Danio rerio: one gene and its partners. The protein of the gene in region 1 purifies or fractionates together with the protein of each later gene. This does not show direct contact. Links are inferred from orthologs where the notes say so. Each region holds a gene or a part of one and is shown in the gene's direction. Other genes may lie near its edges.

Region 1 (4,537 bases):
TAAATTTTATTTTTGCCTTTATATTATTATAAATGAGAAAATTCAGAAAATAACACAAAACTGCACATTGTTTTATTTATTGCTTCCTGCTTGCCAAATATGTCTTGTGTAGAGGGACGAAAATGCTGGGCTCAATCTGATAAGCATAAATCAAATCAGACTAGTGCAGGCGCTTGTGTTTGCATTTTGAATGTAACAGCTGGCCCTTGGCTGCACACACTTCTCTTGACATTTCTGACCCAAACTCCCTTCGGCATATGTCCATGTGTGCGTTTGTGTGTGTATGTGTGTGTGTGTGTGTTAAAGATAGCAGTCTGTGATCACAATATAAGTCAAACACAAACATTCAAGATAAACAATTAAAGGGGGGAAACAAAGCCATCACATTAGAATAACTAAAAATTTAAAAGTAAAAGAGTAAACTTAGTATAATGTAATCCACCTCATATGTATTAGCTAAATACAATCTACCCATCCTCAAAAAGTGTTGTTTTTTGAGACTTGCATTTTGGGATTTTGAGCATTTACTACAACATTAGGGACGTACATGATTAATTGTTGTTGTCATGCACAGGCAAGGCTGCTGCATACTCAGCGTTGTATCTTTCATCCCCACTCCCTCACTAAAAAAAGCAGGCCATGCCCAGTATCAGATTAATTAAACACTGTATGCTGCGTTTGGTGGGATCCCCTTCTCACACAGACAGTGCTATGCTGAAAGAAAAAGTGGGGGTGGAAAAGGTAGAAGGAAGAAAAGTGAACATCTTTACTCTTTTGAGAATTAAAGTGTAATTACTTTTACTGAGTCTGTAAATGATAAGCAAGGTTTTGTATAACCCGTTTCCTGTGTGTCACTGTGGTTATTGGGCGGGTTTTATGAGTGTTTACAATAGCACAGGAGGAAGGGGACAATAAAACTTCAGAAGGTTCAACTCAATCCTGTCTTAAATAGATGACATGGTTCCTAAATCTATAGCATATTGTTCATCTTATTGTGTATGTACAGAACTATTTTGTTGATGTCAAATGCTACCCTCATGAAGGGGCCACCATAAAATATGCTTTATCAAGATATCAGTATATAAAGTCGTCATTTGGTGTGGCTGTACACATTTGCTAAACATATTCTGCACATATTTCTAAAGCACTTTGAAACTGAAACTTTTAAATGATCAGAGCACTGAGTGCAGTCAGCTTCAGTAACGTTACGTCAGAGAGCCGCAGCACGCAGAACAGCGGAAGACTTTAGATTTAAGTAAACCTCACTTTCTAAAATATTAATGCTCAGGAACTGACTGCATATTAGTCACAGATGAGGTATTATATTTTTTAAATTAAATGAATCTGTTTTAATTACCAGCAGAAAGTGTTGTGCTGACCGGATGCAGAGGAACTATTTTTTACGCGGAGTGATCTGAACGGCCTGGCAGCGGTGTGTGGCGCGAGCTATGCCTGACGATCTCAAGGGACAGACAGACAGAGAGAGCTGTGCTGAGCGCTGAACTTGAGACCGTGTCTCAGTCACGTCTCAAGTCCCTCTCACTTTTCTTCATATTATTCCCATGCTCTAATCAGTTTACTTTGACACAAAACCTTCGGATTACGCTGAAGATAAAAAGTATCCCTAATTTCCCTCCGAGTTGCGTGAGAGACTGCGCAATAGAGGAACGCTGAACTGAATTCAACATGTCAATTTTACCTTTCACTCCGCCGATCGTCAAGAGGTTGCTGGGCTGGAAGAAGGGAGAGCAGAACGGACAGGAGGAGAAATGGTGCGAAAAGGCCGTTAAGAGTCTAGTGAAGAAGCTGAAGAAGACGGGACAGCTGGACGAGCTAGAGAAAGCCATCACAACTCAGGATGTCAACACCAAGTGCATCACAATACCGCGGTGAGTGCCATTAAAAACATCCTCGACTTTACTTAGAGAAGCATCGGGTTGTGACGATTGATTTTAGCAGAACCCGTCCGGACAGTCTCAAACTGAAGCTAAACACCAGCACGGCGAAGTTGAAGAAAAAGCCCAGCAGAGGCTCTTTTATTGTGAAATCAACTCTTGTGTTTCTCATATCACGTTAATTCATAAACCGCGTCTCATTACTGTAACGTTATGTGCTGCAGCTCGTATCTCGCTCTCTGATCAAATTCCGACACTCCAGTTGATTTATTTCAACTTTATTCTCTCATGTGCTTTCACAAACACACATTTGCCTTGCCTGAGGTTGTCATTTACTGTCTGATGAGGTTATATAACAGCCCGACCTTAATCTGAGGAGCGCTGTAGCTGCTGTATCTGGGCTAAACGATGTGTTGCGATGTTTGTGTTTTAAGTTATATTTTGGTTGGTTGGTGCATATATAAGACATTTGGTACTTATTATTTTTCTTCATTAGAGTGTACATGTGGACGGGGTTGTTGTATGAATTGTATTGTTGTTATTATTATCCCTCTGAGTTTTGCAATGGCTGGTTAATCCTGTTATGTCACAGTGCGATGCTGGCCAACTGCCCACAGGTCTTGCCCGTATGGTCCACTCGAGGGTTGCCCACAAGCCTTTACACTCAGCAGACCTTTAGTTTCAAGAGGCATTTCAAGCTTCAGCCAATATAGAAAAACATTGGTTTACTTGTTTGAGTTGTATATATTACACATAGCCAGTTATTATAGAAGTTCATTTGGTTTTTCATATGCATTCTGAAAAAAAAAAAAAAAAAAAAAAAAATATATATATATATATATATATATATATATATATATATATATATATATATATATATATATATATATACACAGATTCAGTAGATAATCAGCTAGAAGTTCACTTGGATTTCATCACAAATTAATATATAGCCAATTAAACCAACAGATCTTAGGGGATTATTTGTTAACTTTAATGATACAACTATGTTGTTCCTCATCTTTTGTTTGGTGCCAAATCTCCTGAAAGTAGGGCTGTGATTTGGCCTAAAATCAAAATCTCGGTTAATTTATCATTTCAACTCGATTACAATTAATGAACGATTATTAATTAATTAATTTATTAATTTATTTATTTTTGCCCTCATAGTTCACTGACGGGTTTTGTACAGTAAATATGCTCACATATTACAGGTAAGAGATTTCTTACCTGTAATAAAGGGTGAATGAAGGCTGTAATGAAGGGTGCATTACTTAATTTTAAAATAACTGAAGGAAACACACATGATCTACTGTCTATGATTATTTATTGAACATCAACGTTGAACAACTGAAACTAAAACACACACTGCACAGGTGTGGGGTATGCTATCGCGCAATGCTGCGTGTGAGTTGGATGCACAGGTTTACATCAGCCTTAACTCGCGCGTGTGACTCCACACACAATAGGGAAAGTAATTGAAAAAATTGACCTGGAAAAATTTCGATTATAGATTCTGAATGTCGATTTCGATTACTTTTCGATTAATTGCTCAGCTCTGACGGTGACAAGAATAGTAAATGCTGTATAAAATAAACAATCATGTCATTGGGATTGTAACATCCATCTCATCTGTTGTCTTTATATTATATTATTTAAACACAATAATATTCAATTTTATAAATGTGAATACTTTTATTCTGCAAGAATGCTTTTGAATGAATCAAAAGCTAAATAGAAATGTTAAAAAGGATTTCTCTTACATATAATTGCTATTCTTTTGAACTGTACAAGTATCTAAGAATAATTTTTCTTAGACTACGGGTCATCTAAGTTAAAAGGGATTAAAAGTGACAAAAACAGCTAAGATAAAGGCCTTATGTGAAAGTTAAACCAGATGGATGTGTATGATGAGTGTAATTCATATGTACTGAGTGTAAAAAGTAAAGGAATTCATGCCATATTGGTAATTAAATCAGGTTACCAAACTCCCCAGACCAGTGTCTGTTTTTTAAAATTGAAGCATCCTCTTGACTGGAAATGTTCTTGTGATGGCAGTCACAGTATGTAACAGTTTTTTATCTTTATGATGGAATTTAATCTGGAATTAAATCTCAATTTCATTTAATAAATGTGGATTTTAATTGTACAGAAAATCAGTGTTATTTTCTAGAGTGTTAAAGTATTTTGAATACACTAAAATACTGTTTAGGGTAAGGCTTCTCAATCATCACAAGTATAATTACAGGTAGTTGTAGCAATATAAAATGGGACCAAGTTCTACAGTATGTTGAAATTATACAAGATTTGGCCTTTAATTAAAATCTCGATTAATTGCACTTTATGATTAATGGATACTTATTTTATTTATTTATTTATTTATTTATTTTTTGCCCTCATAGTTAACTGACAAGTTTTGTACAGTAAATATGCTCACATATTACAGGTGAAAGATTTTTGAATGAAGGGTGCATTACTTGATTCTGAAATAATTGAAGGAAACACACATGATCTACTGTCTATGATTATTTATTGAACATCAACACTGAACAACTGAAATTAAAACACACACTGCATAAAACCAACAGTCACTTTTTTCTTATATAAAAGTGAAAATAAATAACTTGCACTTTTGGAAACAA
Region 2 (3,926 bases), on another chromosome or scaffold:
GCCCATTGCAGTTCAGTGCAGCTCTCCAAAACATGTCTTCTTTCAGCAGATCTTTTGTTTGGGAAATGCCAATTCCTGGCAATATATTGACTATTACACATTTTATACGCTATTAAGGAGTCTAAAAATGTGATCACACATGCAACATCCTAGCATGCAGTATTGTTTTGGATGTCCTGTAAGTTTTCCTTTGTCTTTTAAAGCTAATGAATGCAGTGAAAATCAGGACTAAAAATTATCTTTTTATGTTTCTGTTGTTGAACAAAACAAACCAAGAAAATTACACATGTAAACAACCTTTATTTTGAGCATCCTCGTTGTTTTGGTGATTATCGTTTGTGTTTGTTGATTTAAAGTGGCTTGTTTTGCTCTTCAGCATTTCCGCTGGACCGAAGAAATTCGCCACCAAACAGCTTAACGCCATGCTTGAAGATTCGCAACATGTTTGATCCTGTAATGTAAGTTTTTCAAGGACTTTAACACATGAACGCAATTTAAATAGTTGTTCAGGCATGTAAAATCTATTTACTTTCATGTAATCATAAACTTTGCCTGATATTTGAGTAGTTTAGAGAGTAGTTCTCTCACTGTACTTACCATAATTTCCCTCTTCTACAGGGAAGTGGGGGAAAACTGGCATCTCGCCATTCAAGAAGCCATTTTGGAGAAGTGCAGTGATAATGATGGAATCGTTCACATAGCTGTTGACAAAAACTCAAGAGAGGTGAGTGGCTTGTGTGGGTTGTTCATAATTTACACAATGGATCTAAAAGTTCTTGTCCAAGAGCTAGAGACGCCCTACAAAGCGAGCTTAAACAGAATATTGCGTAAAATTCATTTTCATTAAGCTGTGTGAAACCATTATTAACTAAAACTTTCAAATTAAGTTAGGATATCTGTAAATATTTTTTTTGTCGGAAACTTAGCGCTTGGGGGAAAAAAATGAAATACTTGATGTGATACAAAACTTTTTATGAATTTATCAAGTATTTGAAAATAATACCATTATTATGTCAATATAAATTATTAAAAAGTTTTATATTATTATTTTTTTTTTGTATAATATGTGTTTAAACTGTACTTGAAAACCAAAACCACACTATACGACCATATGTGCATAAGTAGTATTTCTTAGTAGGTGACATCACTAACTAATGGCCTGGCATACAGCATTTAAGTTTTTTTTGTTTTTTTTTTGGGTGCAAAACTTTCCAAACACAGAACCATTTGGTTGTGTGAATCAGGGTGTCTTTAAAAGTCTTGAAATGTCTTAAAATATTGATTCACCATCATAATAATGGTAATAAACTGATTAAAAACCCTGTACAAGTCTAAAATTTCATTTTTTTATGGTTTTTTAAAGGGTCTTAAAGTCTTAAAATTATTTAAATTACAAAAAGTAAATTTTAGCCCTTAAAATGTCTTAAATTTGCAGAAATATTGTGTTGTAGGTTGTGTTAAATAATTTTAAACAGGTCTTAATTTTGCTTTGTCCAAGTAAAGCTACTCAATTGGGCTGACATGCCTCTAATCACCAACAAACCATTTAAATAAAACCTTTTATTTATATATATATATATATATATATATATATATATATATATATATATATATATATATATATATATATATATATATATATATAAAGACTTTTAATATATAGACTTTTTAAGACCCTTTAAAATAAAAATGAAATTCTAGACTTGAATAGGGTTTTTTTCATCAGATTATTTATTGGGTTTTTTTAAAGATTTTATATATATATATATATATATATATATATATATATATATATATATATATATATATATATATATATATATATATATATATATATATTTTTTTTTTTTTTTTTTTTTTTTTTTTTTGCAAGAAGATACTATTCACAACAGCTGTTAATTTTTTTTACTGCAAATTCCTTATTTAAAAAAATAAGAAAACCAAAAATAATTATGATTTGTTATGATAGTACTGGTAATAAACAAAAAAAAAACCTGTATAAGTCTAATGTTTCGTTTTAACGGTCTTAAAAGTCTTAAAGATTTGACTGTATAAAACCTGCAGAAACCCTGGTAAATGTACCCTAAAACTGAAGAAAAAATTGTATAAAGTTAATTAAAAATGTTAATGGATATTATTAAATCGCATATCAAAATGACATAACCTGAAATGAACAAAATAAATAAAAATCCAAATTAACTACCAATTACTATCTGCAATAAAGTTTGATCTTAAACTAACAAATCCTAAATATAAAAGACTAAATATTAGGTGAAATAATCCACGTTTAAGTACATTTAAGCTTTCATCTCTATTTGAGCCGGGTATTCGATGGTTGCCTTGTTCCCAAAAGACACGACTCTCCCTTCACTAAATGAGTTTCATTGTGTTTTTTGCAGCAAAGTAACGTCCCTAGAGGCTTTTAGCTAATGAATTGCTTATATGATCTTATTCCCGTCTAGGGCTGCGTTTACGTGAAGTGCCTTTCAGCAGAGCATTCTGGGAAAGCCTTCAAAGCGCTCCACGGCTCCTGGTTCGATGGTAAACGACTATCATATTTCCTCTAGTCTAATTATCAATTTTCAGTACGCTTCAACAACATGTCACATGTTTCCAACAGGTAAGCTGGTGACGGTCAAGTACCTGCGCCTGGATCGCTACCACCAGCGTTTCCCACAAGCCCTAGGCTCCAACACACCTCTCAAACCCTCCAGCTCCAGCATGAACAGCATGTCTCGTCTGAACCAGCGCTCCAGCACGTCCAGCTTGAAGGACACGTTCTCCTGAAGGACATGCAGGACGGCCACCAACCATCCTCTCTGCTCTCTTTCACCATAAACGAAAAGCTCCCAGCCAGAGGGAAACACGTTCAGGAGCAGTCGGGCGACTAAGGACGCCCAATCAGTTTTGTCAGCCATATGCAAGCAATGGTGTTTAAACCTGTGAGCTGCTGTGTTTTTGTTTCTATTTTTTTTCCCTCTGTCCGTTGGAGTCAAGGGAGAAACTGTGGCGTAAATCAGTGGAAAAGAGAGCATTGTTTGCTCCGGATGAGAACTTTTAGGACACAATCCTTCTCATGTCTGGTGCAAGTGGACACACATTTCTGGTTCTTTGATGTATTTGCTTTTGTTTTTATTTGAAATATACCGTCTTTATGGATTCAATAACAAAATGGCTTCCGACTTTAAATCTTACAACAAACACAAATGAAAGTTTTCCGGCCTCTTCTGCTTCTCATTTTGTTTTGTTACAAGTAACTAACTCCCCTCCTTAATTCCAAGGAGCTCTGTTGGGCTATACATAGCTGCATGTGCTGGTTAAAGTATGCCTATATTTAAGCTTTGAATTGTATCATATATTGTGGATGTTTATTTCCCTGAGGATGTTTTTTTTTTAGCTGATGTATTCCATTTAATTATTATTAATTTGTTTTTGTTTTTTTTGGGCCTTTTTTTGTAGTTTTTAGTCCAAGAACGGCATGCACACACACTCTAAAGAAAAAAAGGAGTGCTGTAAATATCTCATTGAATGGTGGTGGTGCTGGTGGTGGTGGTGGTTGAAATCATCTGTATGAAATTGAAATCGTCATAAGCTCTCGTTTGTTTCTTGCCAACAGAATAACTACACTGCTGCATTCAGAGACGCGTGTCATGTGGAGAGACCATTCGATGCCATGTTTCTGAACACTAGTCTTAATTGTCACAGTCTGATTATATTCAAGTATATAATTATTTACTGTTGTTTTTGTTTATATTTTAAAGGTTATGCTTTCCCGTTATAATTGGTGGTGCAGATGGATGTTATTTTTTTTTTCTCCGTTCATCTCCCCGCTATTCATTACTTGGCAATTTTAAACGCCATGCAATTGCTGTTTTTAATCTGTTCCCGACCCTTCTAAATTTCCAAAAGAGACACCTTTTCTTTTC
Region 3 (4,077 bases), on another chromosome or scaffold:
ACATTTACTACGGATGCTCTGATTGATTGGCCGAAGATTGGAATCGGCCGATAATCACATTTCATGTCTTAATCGGTACTCGATCTGGCCAATCTCATGAACTGGTTGCAAGTGTTTGTTTACGTGTTTACAACCCAGGTTATAGATCCACAGTGGTACAACACATGCTCAGTGTTTCCAAATTGCAATGTCAGTAATTTTTCTTACCATTTTTTTCTATCTGTTTTATCTGTTATTTTTTGTTAAGCTGCTTCTAACCATTACATGTACGCAACATTCCTAATTTATTCTCTTAGGTAAGGTGAGTTCTTATACATAGAGGGAGAATGTGCTTATGCAATGGCAAAGTTATATAAAGCTTGAAGCATCAAAATCGGTGCTTGGTATTGGCTGATTAAAATGACGAGGGATTGCTACTCGAAATCAGCTGCAAAATTCCTGATCAGAGCATCCCTAACATTAACACAAGTAAATGAATAGACTCAACGATGGGCTATAATCTCCAGATTTCTGCACGCACAAATTTTGTGTGGGCCCTACAAATAAGCTGTTTAAAAGGCTAATTGTGATTTTATGATATATATATATATATATATATATATATATATATATATATATATATATATATATATATATATATATATATATATTATGTTATGTAGTAAAAATATAATATACAGGGAAACATACACACTAAAGTGACTACAGGAACAGAGTGGTAAACAATAATGCAAATAGTAATGTAGAAATAATTGTTATTTGTCATTAGTTCATTTTCCTTCGGCTTAGTCCCTTTATTCATCAGGGGTCACCACAGCGGAATGAACCGCTGATTTATCCAGCATATGTTTTCATGCAGCAAATGACCTTCCAGCTGCAACCCAGTACTGGGAAACACCCACACACTCACAATTACACATGTACACTACGGCCAGATTAGCTTATTCAATTCACCTATAGTGCATGTCTTTGGACTGTGGGGGAAACCATGTTATTTGTCAAGCCCAAGTATTTATGTTTTTTTTTTTTTGTTTTGTTGATAGTACACATCTTAATCTGCTCACAATGTTTGCTGATGAATGCTTAAAAAGGTTCAATGAAACTGATGTTAATTCAATGTGTCAATTGTAATACATTTCATTCATATCTATGTAAGTGGTTTATAAATTGCTTTGACACGTTTGAGTTTGAAAAAGAAAATACCCTTAAGCATCTCTGCTGCTTATAATTTGACATGTGAAATTACATATGGTAAAAATCTTGAGCTTCATAAGCACAAATAATGAAAAACAATCAATTTTCATCTGTACCCTTTTTTAATGCATGTATGCAACAATTCTTGCTGCCATTTTGGATGAAAATGCTCATTAAGCTTGCCATATTGCTTCTGGGATTGTCTCATCCTTAAAATGATACATGCGATTCTGCCCTAGATTTTATCTTGGAAGAGGCGGTGTGATTTTTGCGTCAGATGCATGCATATAATCTCTAAAAACAACTCGTCTAATAGGCAGTTTGATGAGGTTGGAACAGAGCCATAGTTGTCTTTTTATATATTATCATGAAAGCTCTTTTTTTTTTGGTCATGTGAAAAGTGAAAGGACTTGTTACAGCGTGAGCCCGGACTTGTCCACTGCAGACCCGTAAGCTCTGGCACAGATAGTTTGACGCATGTCATGTTGTGTGTGCAGGAGCTGGAGGCAGTGCGCGGGGGCGAGGCGGCCCGGCTCAGGGAGTTGTCTGCGGAGCAGCTGGAGCTGCAGAACGAGCTGGAGGCGGTGCACACTGAGCATGCTCAGAGACTGGGGGAGGTGCGGCAGGAGCAGAGGCAGCTGGAGCACCGGCTCGAGCAGCTCAAACAGCAGAGTTGCGCCTGTCAGCCTAAAGAGCAGGAGGCACAGTACAATGCACAGGTAAATGCATATCTGAGCATGCCCGAAATCACGATGTGATGCAACAACCACAACAACACAAACTATACCCAGTGTGAATTATCCCTGCACCCAGTGGAATATGCTGCTTGTATCAGCACGGCTCATCTGTGTGGGAGTGATTCAGTTATTTGTAGAGAGATACGCATGCACATTGAAACGGAGAGCCAGGATGACTTGCACAGTGGGCCTGATTCCTGCGTTTCAGTCATCAACTAGGTCAAGTGGCTTACAAATGTTTTAAAACAAATAAACAGTATAAAGGGCAGTTCACACCTTGCTGACAGACAGCACCAGACACTTTGTCGAAGCACTGTGTCAGAGGGTTGCCCATTGCATGTAGTGAATCTGCACTTATCAGATTGTAGGGGAAGTGATGTGTTATAATCTGATAATCGTCCACGTTTGTTATTGTCAATTGTCAATTGGCATTCATTATATCAGATCATAATACCTAATAGTACCAATTTATCCGTGCTGATATTAGCACACAGAGCAAATTGAAATCAAAATAAAATCTAAATAAGATTTGCATGTTTTCCTATTAAGGTTATTTCTTACAGAATTGTGTTAGAGGCCTTTATTAAGCACTTGTATTGTAATTAATGCATTGCAAACACATCATTAATGCTATATTGGATGCAAGTGATCTCTGAGCTGTGCATTTAATGTTACAAAATATTTTCATTTTAATATTTAGACATCATCAATTCCGTGTTACTATTGATGATAACATTTATGGAAATGGTCAATTTCAACTTCAGCTAGAAATTATTTTGATAGTTTAAATGAAGTACTTAAAGATTAGAAATGTTGCCTTTGGAACTAGCTGAATTTTATTTTAAATAATAAAAATGTTATATAGTAATATTGATAAAAATAGGCATCAACGATTAAAAATCCCCAATTTAAATAGAAATGTTAGGAATAAAGCTAGACAACACTTAACTTGAAGTTCACAAAATGTGCGTCGGATTTAAATGATTGAACTTCTCCGTTACTTAGAAAGTTAATTCTGTCCTTCTGAGCAAACTTGATGCTCAAAGGCAGCTGACTCATTTCTTGCTTTCCATGTTTTTCTTGCTTTAGATACTTGTAACTATTAAATAGACACCAGTACTTTGCTATTAAATGCTAATACCTTTCGATGCTGGAATTTAGATGCTAATACTCATTACATACTAGTCCCTATTATTAGAAACTAGTAGTTATTGTTTATTATACATGATCTTCTGAATTATTATGGTACTCCTCTTTTCTGATTAGCATTATTGGACACAGTGGAGTTCAGTAAAAAAAATTGACTAGTAAATTGAATTATCTTGCTAATAACATTTTAAGTAAGAACTAATATCTATTTTATAGACACAAGTACCTAATCAGTGAGTGCTAGCATTCATTAAATAAGAACTAGTGTTTGTTTTAATGCAACAGTATCTTATAGGTAAATACTAGTATGTAAGGATTAAGTACTAGTATCTAGTATTCTTGCTTGTTTTCTTTAGCCCCTGAGCTCATTAGTTGGGTGTATTTTTCACTCCATAATTCTGTGAACAGCCAGAAAACAAATGCTTCATATGATCAGGCTAATTTTGTATGAACAAATACCTTCATAAAAACCTGCAAAATAGTAAGTTTGGAGTATGTAAGTGCTGCTGAAGTGGAGATTTGTCTGTACTCTGGGCTGATTTTGAGTATTAATTTGCCCGCAGTTTTCTCCGTGTTTCAGCAAATGGAATGATTTTTGGTGACCAATCTTATTTTGACGCAAATGTTCAAATACTCAACAATACACTCTGCAAATTTAATATCCTTCCATTGTGTTAGTGACCTTTTTGCCCCATTTACTTTCTTTTTTTTATTTCAAAGCCTCTGCATCATATTAGTATGCATTCTTGATTGTTGCTGGTTTTCCCTGTTGGGAAGAGGTACGATTTGTCATTTTTACCGTTGATCATCAGTTGCAGTGCAAAACAAATGTTGTTTCTGGCTTTTATGTGGAGTATAGTGTGTGTGTGAGAGACCTTTGCGCACTTATCTTGATATATCTGAGGAAATCAAAATGCTGCTTGGCTCTCAGAGCATAGTAAGTGTGTTTAAAGCATGTTTGCACAGGCCTTTCTAAAGGGTTTATGCTGCCAACTCA
Region 4 (4,768 bases), on another chromosome or scaffold:
CCACAGTTAATACCTGAAGCTATTTTTCTGAATATTCATTACATATTTATTGTGAATTAAGTGCATATTATAAAAGAGTGACCAATATATTTATTATAGTATAGCTATTGTAATTTCCTTAGAGTCAAATGACCATTTCATACTGAGCTATTATTCAATATCATATCAATATCTATGTGAGGAATAAAGTGTCAAAACCTTACATAATTAAACTGATCAGTCAATACATTCTAATGTTTACATTTATGTCAATGTTTCATCTTCAGATGTACCTCATTAAGCCACGTTGCATCCCACACAATGAACTGATTTAATTAATTGCATTAATATGTATTTGTTTCCATTTTAATGAGTCTTCAGATCAAATACATTTCATTATTATGCCAAGAGTACAATGGCTCTCTGCTCATTAAAGTGGTGACGGATTGAAAAAGGCCAGTGTGTGGCCTGCCACCCTCATTAGCCTGCTGTTTACGTGGATTGGCTTTTCTTCTGCACAACACTATTAAATGGCTCTATTGTTTCCAGTTGCTAAAGTCCTCCAATCCAATCCCTTCCACTATTGCTCAGGCTAACCTTATTTGCTTCTACAACGCGACAATTATCAAGCCGCAATTAATGCAATCACAATCATGCAAATGTAATGGAAATCATCTGCATCCATCATCTCATTATTTATTACTCAAACTCAAAACAACAACCTCTAATGCTAATCAGGTCACTTAAAATGTTATGGATGCTGCGAAAATGACAAACAAATTCATCAATCTGCCCCAGATCCATGCAGTCATCTATCTATCTATCTATCTATCTATCTATCTATCTATCTATCTATCTATCTATCTATCTATCTATCTATCTATCTATCTATCTATCTATCTATCTATCTATCTATCTATCTATCTCTACATTTATCCATCCATCCATCCTTTCATCCATCCTTTCATCCATCCATCCATCCATCCATCCATCCATCCATCCATCCATCCATCTATGCATCTATCCATCCATCCATGCATCTATTCATCCATCCATGCATCTATCTATCTATCTATCTATCTATCTATCTATCTATCTATCTATCTATCTATCTATCTATCTATCTATCTATCTATCTATCTATCTATCTATCTATCTATCTATCTATCTATCTATCTATCTATCTATCTATCCATCCATCCATATCTATCTATCTATCTATCTATCTATCTATCTATCTATCTATCTATCTATCTATCTATCTATCTATCTATCTATCTATCTATCTATCTATCTATCTATCTATCTATCTATCTATCCTGTATTTATTTTATTAATAAATCCTTTTTATTGTTGTTTAGATCTATCTAATCTTAATAACATTTGGTCTACTTAAAAAATACATCAATTCACTTCAGCTGACGTGGCTGGAAAAACACGCAAAGCACGAAATTTCATAGCATAATTCGAAATCAGGACACACATGACTAATATCCTTTTTTACATCACACAACACAAACGGACTTCCAGCGCCAGGAAGAAGAGCGCGCGCACGCCCAGCCGCGGGTACGTGCACGTACAGCTGTACTAACGTGATGTCAGAACGCCGTTGAGCTCAAAAAATGTTAGCCTGTGTTGTTAAGTCTGAAAGCTACAGGGGATTTGCCAGACGGAAATAATACCGTTTTATCGCCGAGAAACACATGCACAGGCCACACGATCGCGTCGCGTGTTTTTATACGTTTTTATATCCTCGTGAAGCGAGCGTCTTGGGTTTATCCTGAGAGAAAGTTCGTTGGTTTTTTTGTGGGAGTGATGTCGAATCCTGGGACTCGAAGGAACGGGTCAAGCATCAAAATCCGACTGACAGGTAAAACACCCTCTAATACGCTAATTTATCGCTTTAATGTACTAATTTGTTGTTAGTTATCATTTTATACGTTTGGTTAGCTTATAACTGTGTGTCGGTCGCAAATGTGTGTAAAACGCTAAGCGAGGATCCTGCTAGCTTCTGCTGAGGCGAGTTGCTGCAGCCCTGTCTCTTCATGCTAAACGCATGCTAACACGAGAAGCATCCCTTTTTTATTTAATAAACAGCACAATAGTCAGTGGACCTGCTTTATTTGCACTTGTGTGAACGTTATCAGCCGAAAGCAGCTCCCCGTGCACAGTTTGTTAGGTTGGATTAGTCATAAATCAGCTGAGTATAAACCGGATGAGGCAGAGGCAGCTGTTTTCTCGGTTTCCCCTCATCTGGACGCCAGTGTCTTCGTTGTAAATTAAGATTTTAATACGTGACAGACTGTTCATTAATGTTTTGCTTATTGCGCTGTGCTTGCTTTCGGAAGTAAGCTAACTATGGGGTTGATCTTTATGTGATAGTGTACTGTTTCACAATCCACAGATGGGTTTTTTGGGGGAGGATTTTTTTCCTTACTCTTTTGAAACCGCTCTTTGCTTGGAAACGAACAGGATATGATAGATGCATACTGATCTCATTGATATCATCACAGACATAGTGACAGTGCCCTGGAGGAGTGCTTTTACAGTTGCCTTTTTATTTTTTTAAACCAGATCTGATGTTGACTTATCAGTGCCCTTTAAAGCGTTTGTGGAATAGGAAGACTGGTAAACGCCAAATGACAAGGTTATGTGGTTTGCATTTTATTATAGACTCAGTAGAGACCAGATTAAACGTTTTATTCTTTATTCTTGTATATTAGATTTTAAAAGTGAAGTTTCATTTGTAAATGTTAATGCCCTTCATTTATATTGAGCAGTGTGTTTGTTACAGTGGTTTGTTGATTTTGGATGTAGTAATGATGTGTACCCTTTGTGAAGCTGCTTTATTATTATAATTATTAACGAAGTAAACTTGAATTGAACCGTTTTTATCTTTTGTTTACAGAGTACAACAGTTCATTGTCAATGTTAGCTCAGAGACAGCTTTAAAATATACAACTTTTGCAGTAGTTTGGTAAATGCTGAAATGAACGTTAATGCTCTGCTGCGGTTCAGTCATTTATTTTCATATTTGTCTTCATAATGGTATGAAAAACTAAACGTTTTGGCACATTACCATTAACACAAACACACAACAAAAGGAAACAAGCAAAAATGTGATTATCATGATAAGAAAGTGTTTTTAAAATGCAAATGCTTGTGGTGTTTTAGTCAAATATAACCACATCAGATATAAATTATAAATGAAGAAAGTTTATTTCACATTAGATGATATCTTTCATGATATAGTTTTATTATGAGGGTAGTTATTCCAGAGAATTTACTAAAAGGTGTGCAATAAATAAGCTTTGTGAAATAACTAAGCTTAAATATTTAAGGAAAGAAGATGACTCAATCTTGTTAGATTATTTTTGTATTTTATTTTAACTTTACTATAAATATTGTAAACCAAATATAACTTTTAATGAACGAATTACACTCTCACATTTTCACAGTTTTATGTGGACAGACCTTATTATTATAAACATTTCACACATCATCTTCTGATACAAAACTATCCTATGGAAAAAAAAAAAACTTTATCCCTATAACTGCCTGCTCTACCACACGGTTGACCATCTTTTTACTGTTTTAAATAATCACCGTTAAAGTCATTTTAAAGAGAGTTTTAAAGAATGGTTAACACAATACAGCATTGTTGGTTTACAAAGAAAAAAAGAAAATCCTGTCGCACCACTTCGGCATACATCAAAAAAATTCATGTGGTATTCAAAAATGTTTATTTTTTTATATTTTAAAATATAAAATAGTCTTAGACTTTATACTTTCATATTTTTCATAGCATATGAATTAATTTCTGTAGTTTTACTATAAATTAACATTTCTACCATTTTTGTACATGTTAATATTGTAGAAATTATGGGATTATGGTAAGTTTATGGGGGAAAAAATTGATTTAGTGTTTTAACTAGCGACATTACGAGTTAAGAAATGCAATCCAAAAATATTTTTCTTGGTGGGCGGTTAAAAGGTTAAGGAAATATCAAACTGTTTTTTTTTTATTCCTTTAAAAATGCAAAATAAAAACAATTCAAGAGTTCAGATGCTAAAACCTCTATGCGCTGTCTGAAATGTCCATCAAAAATAAACTTTTATTTTTCAACCTCCTTTGTTTATGTTGAATTATTTTACTTTAAAGACCATAAAAATGACTTATTTGCTATAAATGTGTTTATTACTAAACTTACACACAGGAGCCTGAAAAAAATTCTCAGTTTGAAAGAAAATTTCAGATGGCATTTTCTAGGTTCTTGCATTTGAACTCCTCAATTACAATTCATGGATAAATACTGAAACTAAGTGATCAGTTCTCGTTGAAAAAATTAAGCGATTGGCAACACTGCCAGTCTCCCATGTAGTGTCTTTCTTGGCCTTATGCATAATGCTTGTGAGTTCGCCACTCCCACTTATTTACATTTGGTGGTATACACAGAATAAAATAAAATTAATATACACATTTCATGCCATAAAGATGATTTATATCGTCATATAACGATATGGCCGATAAATGGTATTATATCAAATCGCAATAAAATTGATGTCAATAACAAATATAAGCTTGGAAGTTTTTTTTACTCTATATTGATCTCGGAGCCAATCACACTGCAGAAATGTGCAACAATGGGAATCTAAAAGTGTATAGATATTAGAGATGTACCAAATCTGGAAGCATTATCAACTTATATCGAAATATTTTTGCCATGCGCTGTAAAAACTGCTGGGTTCTACATAACTAATTTCTGTAGGGTCAAAATGAAGGAATTAA
Region 5 (4,077 bases), on another chromosome or scaffold:
TTTGTGCATATTCTTATAAGAACATTCACAGTGCTAAATTTTATTTTTCTGCTATACATATCACGATTTGTTGTATACTTCAACAGATGAAATGAATGACTGTATTTGGAAACAATCATTTTTAGAGGAGTGCATTTGTACAAAATATTCAATAAATCAGCCACAAGCATTGATAAATACAGTGGGGCACAACATTATGTTATTTCTATGAGTCAAACAGAATTCTGACGAAAATATAATAATCAAATCATGTAAAATATAGAAATACATTTGTCACAGGCCTTAAAAACATACAAATGTTAAACTTTTTGTACCTTTAAAGTTCAAATTAGCAATGACTTTACAAATCATGTATTTGAAAACTCCTGTGGTTCCTGGTCAACTATAATCCTAATTTGACATTGCAGGTCCTGCAATAGAACTATTGTGGATTCACTTGTGATATTGATTCTGAAATGATATATTGTGCGTTTCTATGTAAAATGTATGCATAAATGCTAATTAACTCATATTTTCAACTTTACTACTCTGTCTTATCCAGTGGCATTGTAGAGGGGGATGTAGTCCTGTCCTTGCAGCAGACCGTGACTGAGCCCAAGGCTGTTGAGAAAGAAAGTGAGGAGACTGAGGAAAAGACCTCTGAATTGGATATTCTCAAGCTCTTCAAGCCAGAAAGCCTCAATTGCTCATTGGAAAGCTCTACACTTTATAATAAGCTGAAAGAGGAGCCAGAGGCCCTCACTGTGTTGGCACCTGCAGCAGGCGACGCCATTATCTCTCTGGACTTCAACAACTCAGGTAATTCTTGCTGGATGGGTACATTTTTTCAGTAATTTGAGAGTAACTGGAAGCCACCTAAATTCATTCAGTTTCAATGAGAGCTTATTAAAAGATCCATGAGCAAAGATGCACATATCTTTTTATATATTCACATCTAGATTAGTCTTAAGGGACATTCCTGCAATGTTTATTAACACTTCTAGTCTATAGTTTTAATTTTTTACAGTTAAAGTGAACTCTGTGAAATTAGCCCCAATATTGATAAAGAAACCTTAAAATTTCTAACTGGTGGAATCAAGTTGTTTATACCCACTGTAGAATGGGTCAATCAAAGATGACACGCAGTTTTTTAGTACAATTATAGATACTCCCAGTATGTTTTTCACCTGTAGGAGTAGATCCTCCAATCTGTTGTCTTTGCAAAAGCACTTTATCTGTGAAGCATGTTCTCTCTCAACACAGTTTGTGTTGGCTTTAATTCTTTGAGACATTTTTTTATTTAGTTCCACTATGCTACTTTTGAATACATTTTTATCACTGTTAAACCGAATATGGTTTAAGAGATTTTAGCAATAAATGAAAAAATACTTAAGCTTTACTGCAGTCAGTTGATATTTTCTCGCCATGAAAATAACCAAAGAACCTGGCATGGCATTAAACATAAACAAACCTTTAAAGTGTAATTTGGGGGATGTATGAACAGGGATGTATGCTTTTAGAGTTTAACAGGATTCTTTGGAAGTCATTTCTAAGATGCAGATTTTCGCTCAAGAAATATTTATTGTAGTCATTGTTGAAAATTGTAATGTTTTAATGAGTAGAAAGTTCAAATGCACGTCTATTTAGAGAATAAATTTCTGTTGCAACGTAAGAGACTTCACTGACTATGTTTACATGGACATCAGTAATCGAATTATTTGCCTTAATCTACAATAATAAGATAAAGGCGTTTACATGAGTTGCTTTTTGAAAGTTTCTTTCATGATCACATTTTACATGTTATAGCACATACTTAGATTACCGTCATTGCGTCACCGCATTATCCGCATTTCCTCCGAAGTTTCATGTAATTTCGGGTGTTTTATTGTTAATTTGTCAACTTTAACTGCGGTTTGGCACTTTCACTTTCATTCGTGCATGCCCCCGATGACAAACGAGATGTTGGATGCAACTATGAACTGCTGGAAGAGTTGTTGTAATGGAAGTTCATACCGCATGCTGAATGGAAGAAAAAAATGTTTGTTTCTTTATTGAATGATGGAAACTAGTATCATTTGACTTAAACGGTATTTATTTTCCTACAATGTAAGTCAGTAGCTATGCTTCGATCCACCTATTTAAAAAAAAAAAAAAAAAAAACGATTGATGGAAACGCCACGATGCGCATACATTTTGAAAATGCGCATGAACTTATGCGCTTAACTGAGTAGGATAAACTTGTTATTCGATAAGAAAAGAAGTGTAAACTACGATGAAAACACTTTTACCGCACAAATTTCATTATGAGCATTAAAAATGGTCATGTGATTCTGTTATAAGAGATCATGTGATGAAAATGTTTGTAAATGGACAAACCAGCTGGCTGAGCACAATATAAAACAGCTGAAATGTTGTTTTGGTCATTCTAAATTGCCTTACCGTTTAAGTATTAGTGTTATTATATTATTAATGACCTCCAGAATCAAGAGCGTCTGTGCTTCGTGTCTCACACCTTCAAACGCCACTGCGCATTCATTGCGTGTCAGGATTGCCTTCTAAGGTGCAAATCATTTATTAGATGAAGAGAAGATTGACACAGCTTCTTCTACTCCAGCAAGTTCGTTTTTTTTTTTGGTTGATATTTGGTGCCAGTTAATCAGGAAATGACTATTTTGTTCGCTTTGATGGAAACGCTGCTTTATACACACATTTTATGCGATAATCTAGGTTTGTTACATAGCTAATGGCTACCAACTTCCTATACTCTGCTAAAGTCATCTTTTATGTTTAACAGAATTTTGCATTGAATTTGGATGTAATCTACTCATGTGAATACTTCAACTTGCAATTGGTGTGAACTCTGTATTACTGACCATAAACATTTCAAGAGTGTGTATCTTTAGAGCAGTGTTTCTCAACCACATTCCTGGTAGACCACCAGCTCTGCACATTTTCCCTGAGACTGAAAGGCCTATAATGGGTGTGACAGACAATGTAGATAACCAAAACATGCAGTGTTGGTGGTCCTCCAGGCACATAGTTGAGAAACACTGCTTTAGAGGATTAAATGCAATCCCCTGGCAGCTTTTTATCTTATGAAGACTAACAACTCTTGTCATTCACTAATCATCTGAGATTACAGGAAATGTGCTTTCATAATTTTACTGAAGTAAATCTAATATTAAATACACACAGTTCCTTGGTGGTCTACCAATAATAATTACCGGTATCCATTTCCCTCCAGATTCTGACATACAGCTGCTGAAGGAGGTGCCCCTCTACAATGATGTCATGCTGCCTTCCAGCAGTGAGAAGCTGCCACTCAGCCTATCTCCTCTCACACCCAGCGACTCCATCCCAGCTCTGACCAAACTAGAGACTGGAGGAGAGGACTTCCCTTTCAGCTCTGCCTCTGATCGTGTGCCAGACCCCACAAACACACCCTCCACATCTGGACTCGGCTCTTCGGGGGTAAACACTTATTAAACGCTTGCTATTCTTGGTCATTTAACAACAATTGCTCCCTTGTAATGGTTAATGAGATACTGTCACTGACTTTAGGTTGTTTTTTTTTGTCAATCTTAGCCCAACAGCCCCATGGATTACGGTTTCCCAGTGGAACCAGACATCAGTTCTGAATTTAAACTCGACCTGGTTGAGAAACTGTTTGCTATTGATACCGAAGCAAAGACACCTTTTTCCACCCAGGTAACTTTTTATTTAAGATTTTAACTACATATTGTTTGTCTCACTCTCTCCCAAAATCAAATTCTAATTCAAATGAGCTTTATTGGCATGACTTGTCAAGTATTGCTTATATATTGCAAATATGAATATATATACACATGTACATAAAACACAATTACAGATTTGATAAGTACATATGCAAATAAAAAAGACTAAGTTTTTTATTTTATATTATTACAAAGAAAACGAAAGAAAAATAAATTATAAAAAAAACAATATTATAATAAAACAATAAAATAAAATACACAACTTTGCAGTCATTAGATGGTTTGTAATCTCTCTTGCACATTTCTGTGACCTCTAGCCCATGGAGGATCTCGACCTAGAGATGCTGGCTCCTTACATCCCAAT
Region 6 (4,077 bases), on another chromosome or scaffold:
CAAATGAGCTCATGGATGGGACAAACTCTGGATCTTTGTCAGTGAGGGGTGGGACCCCCCTGGCGACAGGCTTGTAATATGTCATTTTCATGTCTGCTCCTGAATGATCTGTTTGGTTTTCACACAGGCTGAAGGAGCTTGTAAGTGTAATGGCTGGAAGAGTCAAAACCCTCCCCCTACTCCGCCTCCTCCAACCCCACCCAGGGCTGAGCAACCAACCGCTGTCAGCCTAATGGAGCCATGCAGAAGCTGCAGCCACGCCCTCGGTAATGACTGTTTGTGTAATAACAGAGCACAACGACAGAGTTCCAGAAGAAAAAAACCTTGTGCTCTCAACCATAGAGAAACTAAGGTTTAGGGATAATGCATTTCAGTAAACCTTAAGTAAAAAACTTTTAGACCAATGTCATCAATCCCTAGGGTTCAAATAAAGTCTCAATTTCATGTGTTTGTATTACTGCCTAGGTGACCATGTGACGCACCTGGAGAATGTGTCAGAAGAGGAGATGAACAGACTGCTTGGGATTGTACTGGATGTGGAGTACTTGTACACGTGTGTCCATAAAGAGGAGGATCCTGACACTAAACAAGTTTACTTCTCTCTCTTCAAAGTGAGTCATTTGGGTTGTTACACATTGGTCCCACTCAGGTTTCCCACTCTTTAGAAGAAATAATTTCCAGAACATAAACTATGACAGGAGTTGATCTCAAATGGACTTGTTGTAGGCATTTTTTGAAATTGCAATTAATTTAACTTTTGCTTTTTTGTTTAAATGTTGTTTTTTAATTTGAATGTGAATGCCATAAAGGTATGGAAAATGGAACGGTAGTAGGCCAGAAGAATGGAAGTGGGTCAGACACATGATTTTTTGACTTATTCAGCATATGTTTTAACGCAGCGGATGCCCTTCCAGCTGCAACCCATCACTGGGAAACATCCATTCATACACACTCATTCATCCACATACACTAGGGACAATTTACCTCACTTAATTCACCTATACCAAAAGTTTTTGGACTTGTGGGTGAAACCGGAGCACCCGGAGCAATTTATTTAAAATTTAAAATTTGTTATATTAAAATCGTTATAAAACAAAAAATATATAAAGTGGTCAAAAAAATGTGTATGATCAATTTTCGTTCTTCCAAAATAAAACACTAAAATTTAACTAAATGAAATGCACTTTCAAAAAAAAAAATGGCTACAAAAGCACTTGAGAAACCTCAGAGGGTGAAAACTGAAATATACAGTTAAAGTCAGATTTATTAGCCCCCCTGAATTATTCGCCCCCCATTTAATTTTTTCCCAATTTCTGTTTAACAGAGAGAAGATGTTTTCAACACATTTCTAAACATAATAGTTTTTGTAACTCATTTCTAATAACTGTTTTATTTTATCTTAGCCATGATGACAGTAAATAATATTTGACTAGATATTTTTCAAGACACTTCTATACAGCTTAATGTGACATTTAAAGACTTAACTAGGTCAATTAGGTTAACTAGGCAAGTTAGGGTAACTAGGCAAGTTATTGTATAACAATGGTTTGTTCTGTAGACTATCGAAAAAAAAATAGCTCAAAGGGGCTAATAATTTTGTCCCTAAAATGTTTTTTAAAAAATTCAAAACTGCTTTTACTCTTGCCGAAATAAAACAAATAAGACTTTCTCCAGAAAATAAAATATTATCAGACATACTGTGAAAATGTCCTCATTCTGTTAAACATCATTTAGGAAATATTTAAAAAAGAAAAAAAAATTCAAAGGGGACTAATAATTCTGACGTTAACTGTAATTACCATTCTGCCGTAGAAGCCACAACCTTGCTCAGCTGTCATCATATTTGGCTTATCAACAGTAAGTAGATTCAAACTGAAAAATACATCAACAACAATAACAAAATCTAGATCAAGAAGGACTTTTTCCAGGACACTTGGTCATTTCGATAATTTTCCAGATTATTTCCATGACTGGAAAACAAGGATATTTGGGAACCCTGGTGCTTAAATGATTACAGAATCTGTTCTGATTATATATTACTATGAATATAATTACCAAAGATTTCTGGTCTCTTTTGCTCACAGAGTGTTTTATAAACAAATATAGTAAATCATACTATAGTATTATTGTGGCATAATTACATTTTAAAAGAATTGGTTTCTATTTTAATATAATTTAAATTCTATTCTTTTTCATATGATTGTAAATTTTCATTTGTCACATGATTGTTCAGAAGTCATTGTAATATGCTGATTTGGTGCTCAAGAAAATTTCTTGCTATTATCAATGTTGCTTTCTACTTAATATTTTTTGTGGAAACCAAAACACATAAAGGTAAATAAATCGCTCAATGGACCAGTATTTATTTAAAACATATTTTTTTAATGTCTTTAGTCACTTTTAATAATTTTAATCCGTTTTTATTTGTTCATTAAAAATGCAAAAATACCTCATAATTTACTCACTCTCAAGCCATCCTTAGTGTACATGCCTTTCTTCTTTCAGACAAACACAGCCAGAGTAGTTTAACATTTTATCCTGACTCTTCCAGGTATAATGGTGTTGGGTAGTGGTCATTTTTTAAGCTTGTAAATCTGTCATAAAATGAACCCATATGCTGTCACGAGGTTAACGCATGTTGTATGAAGTAAAAGTAAAAAAAAAGTATGTTTTTGTAACAAAAAAATATTTATAATTTTAAAATTATAAACTCAAATGCCTGACTTCCGGCAGCTGCTGAATGCGCATTTTCAACAACTTGTACAAAAGAACCAATGTACTTTTGGAAGCTTTAAAAAACGCAACACCATAATTCAGCATGGTGTTAATCAGGTTGCGTTCATCTGAGAAAAGGAAGTCATATATTCTGAGGATAACTTAAGGATAAGCAATTAAAATTTCATTTCATTTTTAAAATACTTTAAATGCTAATCACTGACCTTTAGTTTTGAACAGCATTATACACTCACCACTTTATTAGGTACACCTTACTATTACCGGGTTGGAGCCTCCTTTTCCTTCAGAACTGACTTAATCCTTCGTGGCGCAGATTCAACAAGTTACTGGAAACATTCCTCAGAGATTTTGGTCCATATTGACATGATAGCATCACGCAGTTGCTGCAGATTTGTCGGCTGCACATCTATGATGCAAATCTCCCGTTTCACCACATCCCAAAAGTACTCTATTGGATTGAGTTCTGGTGACTTTGGAGGTCATTTGAGTGCAGTTAACTCATTTTCATGTTCAAGAAACCAGTCTGGAATGATTTGTACTTAAGTATAATATTCAGGTATGCTGTGGCGTTGACACAATGCTCAATTGGTACTAATGAGCCTAAAGTGTGCCGAGATTAAATCCTCTACACCATTACAACAGCACCACCAGCCTGAACCATTGATACCAGGCAGGATGGCTCGATGCCTTCATGTTGTTGATGCCAAATTCTGATCCTACCATCCAAATGTTGCAGCAGAAATTGAGACTCATCAGACCAGGCTACGCTTTTTTAATCTTCTATTGTCTAATTTTGGTGAGCCTGTGTGAATTGTAACCTCAGTTTCCTATTTTTAGCTGACAGGAGTGGCACTCACTGTGGTCTTCTGCTGCTGTAGCCCATTCGCCTCAAGGTTGGACTTGTTGTGCATTCAAAGATGCTCTTCTGCATACATCAGTTGTTACGGGTGCCTATTTGAGTTACTGTAGCCTTTTTATCAGCTTGAACCAGTCTGGCCATTCTCCTCTGACAAGGCATTTGTGCCCACAGAACTGCCGCTCACTGGAAACTTTCTCTTTTTCAGACCATTCTTTTTAAAACCTAGAGATGGTTGTGCATGAAGATCCCAGTAGATCAGCAGATTCTGAAATACTCTGATCAGCTCGTCTGGCACTAAAAACCATGCCTCGTTTAAAGTCACTTTATTCATCTTTTTTCCCCATTCTGATGCTCAGTTTGAACGGCAGTAGATCAAATCGTCTTGACCATGTCTACATGCCTAAATGCACTGAGTTGCTGCCATGTGATTGGCTGATTAGAAATTTGCGTTAACGAGCAGTTAGACAGGTGTACCTAATAAA
Region 7 (4,708 bases), on another chromosome or scaffold:
CATCCATCCATCCATCCATCCATCCATCCATCTATCTATCTATCTATCTATCTATCTATCTATCTATCTATCTATCTATCTATCTATCTATCTATCTATCTATCTATCTATCTATCTATCTATCTATCTATCTATCTATCTATCTATCTATCCATTCATTCACCCATCCATCCATCTATCCATCCATTGTTTTATCATTCTATTGTTCCATCTATTGTTCCATCCATCCATTGTTCTGTTGTTCCATCTATCATTCTATCCATCCATCCATTGTTCTATCATTCTATCATTCTATCTATCGTTCCATCCATCCATCCATCCATCCATCATTCCATCCATCCATATAACATTCTGTTTATCATATTCTTCTTAAACCAGCAAATAAACAAGCTAGCTAAAACGATCACACTTTACAATAAGGTTCATTAGTTAATGTTAATTAATGCATTTATTAAGATGAATAAACAATGAACAATACATTTAGTACTGTATTTGTTCATGTTAGTTAAGGCTAGTTAATGAAAATTGTTCATTGTTAGTTCATGTTAACTCATAGTGCATTAACTAATGTTAACAAGCATGGACTTGAATGATAATAATGCATTAGTAAATGTTCAATTATGGTTAATAAATGTTGTACAAGTGTTGTTCATGATTAGTTCATGATAGTAAATGCATCAACTAATGAACCTTATTGTAAAGTGTTACCGCTAAAACTATAGAAACCACCCAGAACTCTCCTTAGTCGTCTTATCTGTTAGTCTGTCTCATCTGTCATTCATGATTATGAATCAAAACTGCTTCAAATTGTGAGATGAGGTCTGGGGACACTACACATATATGCACACCTAAATACACATATAGATAGTTTAGATTAGCACACATTTGTTTTTAACCAGGCCACTGAAATCAGGCCATACATGCACGGTGTACACCTCAATATTTCGGAAATTGAAATAGGCCGGCCGCAACCATGTCAAACTCCAAAAGCAGAGAGTATTAGGTACAAATGAGGGTAAAAAGAGGGCGCATGAAATGACTGGAGTGGCTGTTTTTAATGAGGCTAACATCGAGATAATATCAAGTGGTGAGTGAGGGTGGAAGGGTGGTTTAACAGGCCCCAAAACCACCAAAACACACTCGAACACACCCTCACACACTTCAACACTCTCTTTTTCCCTAATAATCCTCAGCTATCCTTCATTTTGTACTTTTTTTTTTACTCAAGAGTTTGTGTATGAGCTGTATGTTTTTGTGGTCCCCTCTTCAAGAAGGTCCCATCATCTTCTGGGAAACTCTTCAAACACCAGCCATGGGCCAATCAGATGAGTGAGAAAGGCACTGGGAAGAAAAGGAGAACTTGAATGCATGCAAGCGAGGGAGAGAGAGAACGTCATGTGACTGGAGTTCCACCTATCAGATCATGGGATTGGCGAGCAGCAGTGATACCGCGGGAGCTGTGACCTCGGATACCTCAGACATGCGACTGACAGGCCTTTACCACGGTGATCACCACTGTAAGAGCGTCAGACACCTGACATTTCAACTCTCTGACTGAAGGCACGTAGACTCTACAGCAACCACTTCTGGAGAGAGAGAGACGCACAGAAGTGTCCATCAACAAAGGTGAGTCCATTTCTATGAGAGTTAGTGCTGTCCTCACTTTGTCTTTCAGTCTTTCTCTCTTTCTCTCTCACTCTCGCTCGCTCTCACCACACGGCACATATGCTGTTCTGTTAGTCGGCTTGTGGCGAAAGATTCCTGTGGCACTCTCAAACCCCAAATTCTTGGTTGCAGGCTGTCTATGTAGTTTCTGTATTTCTCTTTCTCCGACTGTCATTCTCTCAGGCTGAAGACGGTACGACGGCGGAGAGGCCAGCTCTTTTCCCTTCAGAGCGGGACACATGGCTTCAAACAGCATCTTCGACACATTCTCTAGCTACTCGCCCAGTTTGCTGCGAGGTAAGTCACCCGCCGTGCCATTCCCTTCCTTTTTTCTTCACCGCTGTGGTGTCTAGAAAGCTGGTTTTGGTAGCCGTAGCACTCTTAAGAGCTATCTGTCTGCTGTAGTTTGCATGTTTGTTTGTGGCAGTTTAGCAGCTGTGAAAGTGTGACATGCATGTGGGTTTGACGTTTGACTTTAGATCAGTTAATGCTTGCTTTGTTTCTGCAAACTGCTTGAGATGGGTATGATAATGTGTCTGAATGGCCTTCGAAGAAACCATGAGAAGGTACAAATAAAAAGGCAGGGATCTCGCTGCACAGATCTGTGGAAGTTGGAGTTACCTGCGCATTTGTCTTCTGTTAGATGTTTGTTTTGTAATGCGGCTGTCTGTTTGGAGCAGGGTTTGGATCATAATGGCCTGCTCACCGCAAGCATTAGCACTATAAACGCACTCTCAGCGCAGGGCGCAAGGGAGGAACCAGCTAGACCAACCTTTACTGGAACTCGCAAACCAGTCAACTTCTGGAGCCAGGGCACTCTCGGCCTTTCTGTGGTCGCTGTGTATATGTGTGGGTACGAGCCCAAGTCAACATTAGTGATTTACTGGCATCTGCATCTCCTGAGCTCCTCAGAAGAGGCCATTTGTCACTATGGTAACGTCAACATGTGATGAGGTGCTTCCTTTTTCTTTGGATTGACTCCGGCTTTGTTTGGAAAAACAAAGCAGATTCATGATCCTCACGCAGAGCTCGTTTAGGGTGGGATGATGAAGACTAAAGTGAGTGTTAGGTTAAAGTGATGTTTACTCTTTAATACATGGACCTTGTCTAATTGTGCATAATGCATCTCTGTGGTCACTCCAAATGCAAATGTCTGATGATGTCACAAATCTATAGAACTACAAGACGTCCATATACAGTCCCATTCCCAGTTGCAGTGGGGGAAAATATAGAACAGGGGTCTCAAACTCAATTTACATGTGGGCCGCTGGAGGCAGAGTCCGGGTTAGGCTGGGCCGCATCAGGTTTTCCACAAGAAAAACTTGTTTAAAAATATTCCAATCTTCTCAAATCTCTTTATTTTTATTTTTTTAACAGAAAATAAGATGAAAAAAATAAACAAATTAAGAATTAATAAGAAAATGAATCAATCGGTAATAAATAGGAAAAATAATAATAATAATTGTCAAAATAATAATAATAATAATAATGAAAATAACAATAATAATTAGATTTACTGTAAATCACCGTGCTGTTACAGGAAAAAGCAACAGTTTTGTCATTTGTTTTGACTACTTTTACATTATATAGAAATTATAGGTGGGCATGGATACATTTTTTTTAATCTAGATTAGTCTCACTGTAATCTTGAAATTAATCTAGATTAAAATGGCTCACTTAAATCCTGCCGAAGGCATTCAGGATAAGTGTGCTACCCAAATAATGACTAAAAGTAAGTCTTTAAGAACGGGTTTCTCAAGCCAGGTGGTGCATTAAAACCAGGGGCTCATCTCCTGTTTCCTAAATGCATCACAAACTGCTTGAGAAACTGTTCTATGATAATTAATGATGAAAATAAATGATGTTCAATAAGATGTGCTTGTGTTTACTGACTGTTTATTCAGTTAAACATGAATTTTGAACTGTAGTCCTACGTAAGCTCCAAACAGCGGTTTTTGATGACCTTAATCTGACTAAAGTCATAACTGAACTCAACAGAAATGGAATTAAGACATGTGGAGTATGCAGATATTAGTGGCGTTATTGAAGTAAACACCACAATCAAACTATTACCGTCATGTAGGACTTTTCGCCATATTTTACAACAAATTCCACACACGCGGCTGTCAGTAAAGGACCGTGCACACACACACACACACACACACACACATTGCGAAATGCAGAAGTTTTTTTTTCTTTCCATTCTGCGTGCGTTATTAAATTCTATAACACTCTCACCATCCTTACTCCTTATTTGCATCTAATACTCTAGTTTGTCATGGGAGCATGAATGAAAGGTTCATGAATGAATGTGAAACTGCAGAAGTAAGTGAAAGATCCAGAGGGGCATCCTGCTGATTTGATTCAGAAGGGCACTTTTTTGTCAGACGGCTCACCGGTCAGGTATACATCCGCACTAAAATATCAAGGTGAAAGTCATCATAGCTTGCGTAGAATAGACCCAGAATATATTAACGGCGATATTTTTTTATCGCACAAGAGTCTCACGTTAGCGCAGCACCACTAATAGAAATATATGTAATGCACATGTAATATATGCTTTTTTGATCAGCCTCGTTATCAGATTTACTTGTAGTTTTAAAAAATGAAAATATTTGCAAAAATTTGCTATTTTAAAAAAACAGATATTGTTTAGGACAATATTGTTTATTGTTCAACCAAAGAGAGTGATTGGAAATGTAAGAAAAGATGACTGGATAAAAATATTGTTCATAGCCAATAGTTAAAGTGACTTTTGCTTGCTCTCATTCATTCACACACACACACACACACACACACACACACACACACACACACACACACACACACACACACACTCTCTCTCTCTTTCTCACACACACATAGAGGTATTCACAACAAGTTAATGCCGACCTCATTAAAATGAATACCAGAAAGCAAAACACGAATATCTGACATTTTCCGAAACAGGATCCGGCAAGATCCGGCTCAAATTAAGCACTGATTTATATACAGTTATCTACGTATTATGTCCCGCTAGGCAGCGACTTTAAAAAAACTTATG

What was found.
Region 2: the proteins of smad3a (region 1) and lemd3 purify together in Homo sapiens (affinity purification with mass spectrometry; 3 studies listed by BioGRID and IntAct, counting the BioPlex papers as one, with this or other methods). This does not show direct contact. The link is inferred for Danio rerio from reciprocal best matches to the Homo sapiens genes SMAD3 and LEMD3.
Region 3: the proteins of smad3a (region 1) and skila purify together in Homo sapiens (affinity purification with western blotting; 6 studies listed by BioGRID). This does not show direct contact. The link is inferred for Danio rerio from reciprocal best matches to the Homo sapiens genes SMAD3 and SKIL.
Region 4: the proteins of smad3a (region 1) and smurf1 purify together in Homo sapiens (affinity purification with western blotting; 3 studies listed by BioGRID). This does not show direct contact. The link is inferred for Danio rerio from reciprocal best matches to the Homo sapiens genes SMAD3 and SMURF1.
Region 5: the proteins of smad3a (region 1) and hif1ab purify together in Homo sapiens (affinity purification with western blotting; 4 studies listed by BioGRID and IntAct, with this or other methods). This does not show direct contact. The link is inferred for Danio rerio from reciprocal best matches to the Homo sapiens genes SMAD3 and HIF1A.
Region 6: the proteins of smad3a (region 1) and kat2b purify together in Homo sapiens (affinity purification with western blotting, with the first as the bait; 3 studies listed by BioGRID). This does not show direct contact. The link is inferred for Danio rerio from reciprocal best matches to the Homo sapiens genes SMAD3 and KAT2B.
Region 7: the proteins of smad3a (region 1) and runx3 purify together in Homo sapiens (affinity purification with western blotting; 3 studies listed by BioGRID). This does not show direct contact. The link is inferred for Danio rerio from reciprocal best matches to the Homo sapiens genes SMAD3 and RUNX3.

What each region holds. Positions count from the first base shown.
Region 1 is NC_133182.1:34,224,043-34,228,579, reverse strand, and holds the start of smad3a (mothers against decapentaplegic homolog 3a), read left to right. Parts: upstream 1-1,486; 5' UTR 1,487-1,686; coding exon 1,687-1,889; intron 1,890-4,537. UniProt on the Homo sapiens protein: Receptor-regulated SMAD (R-SMAD) that is an intracellular signal transducer and transcriptional modulator activated by TGF-beta (transforming growth factor) and activin type 1 receptor kinases.
Region 2 is NC_133179.1:13,491,836-13,495,761, reverse strand, and holds the end of lemd3 (inner nuclear membrane protein Man1), read left to right. Parts: intron 1-376; coding exon 377-458; intron 459-618; coding exon 619-724; intron 725-2,462; coding exon 2,463-2,541; intron 2,542-2,620; coding exon 2,621-2,787; 3' UTR 2,788-3,172; downstream 3,173-3,926.
Region 3 is NC_133177.1:40,282,016-40,286,092, reverse strand, and holds part of skila (ski-like protein), read left to right. Parts: intron 1-1,691; coding exon 1,692-1,913; intron 1,914-4,077. UniProt on the Homo sapiens protein: May have regulatory role in cell division or differentiation in response to extracellular signals.
Region 4 is NC_133178.1:39,719,816-39,724,583, reverse strand, and holds the start of smurf1 (E3 ubiquitin-protein ligase SMURF1), read left to right. Parts: upstream 1-1,576; 5' UTR 1,577-1,794; coding exon 1,795-1,849; intron 1,850-4,768. UniProt on the Homo sapiens protein: E3 ubiquitin-protein ligase that acts as a negative regulator of BMP signaling pathway. Mediates ubiquitination and degradation of SMAD1 and SMAD5, 2 receptor-regulated SMADs specific for the BMP pathway.
Region 5 is NC_133195.1:22,873,573-22,877,649, reverse strand, and holds part of hif1ab (hypoxia inducible factor 1 subunit alpha b), read left to right. Parts: intron 1-541; coding exon 542-798; intron 799-3,223; coding exon 3,224-3,450; intron 3,451-3,564; coding exon 3,565-3,687; intron 3,688-4,030; coding exon 4,031-4,077.
Region 6 is NC_133194.1:23,127,046-23,131,122, forward strand, and holds part of kat2b (histone acetyltransferase KAT2B), read left to right. Parts: intron 1-127; coding exon 128-266; intron 267-465; coding exon 466-611; intron 612-4,077. UniProt on the Homo sapiens protein: Functions as a histone acetyltransferase (HAT) to promote transcriptional activation. Has significant histone acetyltransferase activity with core histones (H3 and H4), and also with nucleosome core particles.
Region 7 is NC_133188.1:48,796,179-48,800,886, reverse strand, and holds the start of runx3 (runt-related transcription factor 3), read left to right. Parts: upstream 1-1,774; 5' UTR 1,775-1,904; coding exon 1,905-1,962; intron 1,963-4,708. UniProt on the Homo sapiens protein: Forms the heterodimeric complex core-binding factor (CBF) with CBFB.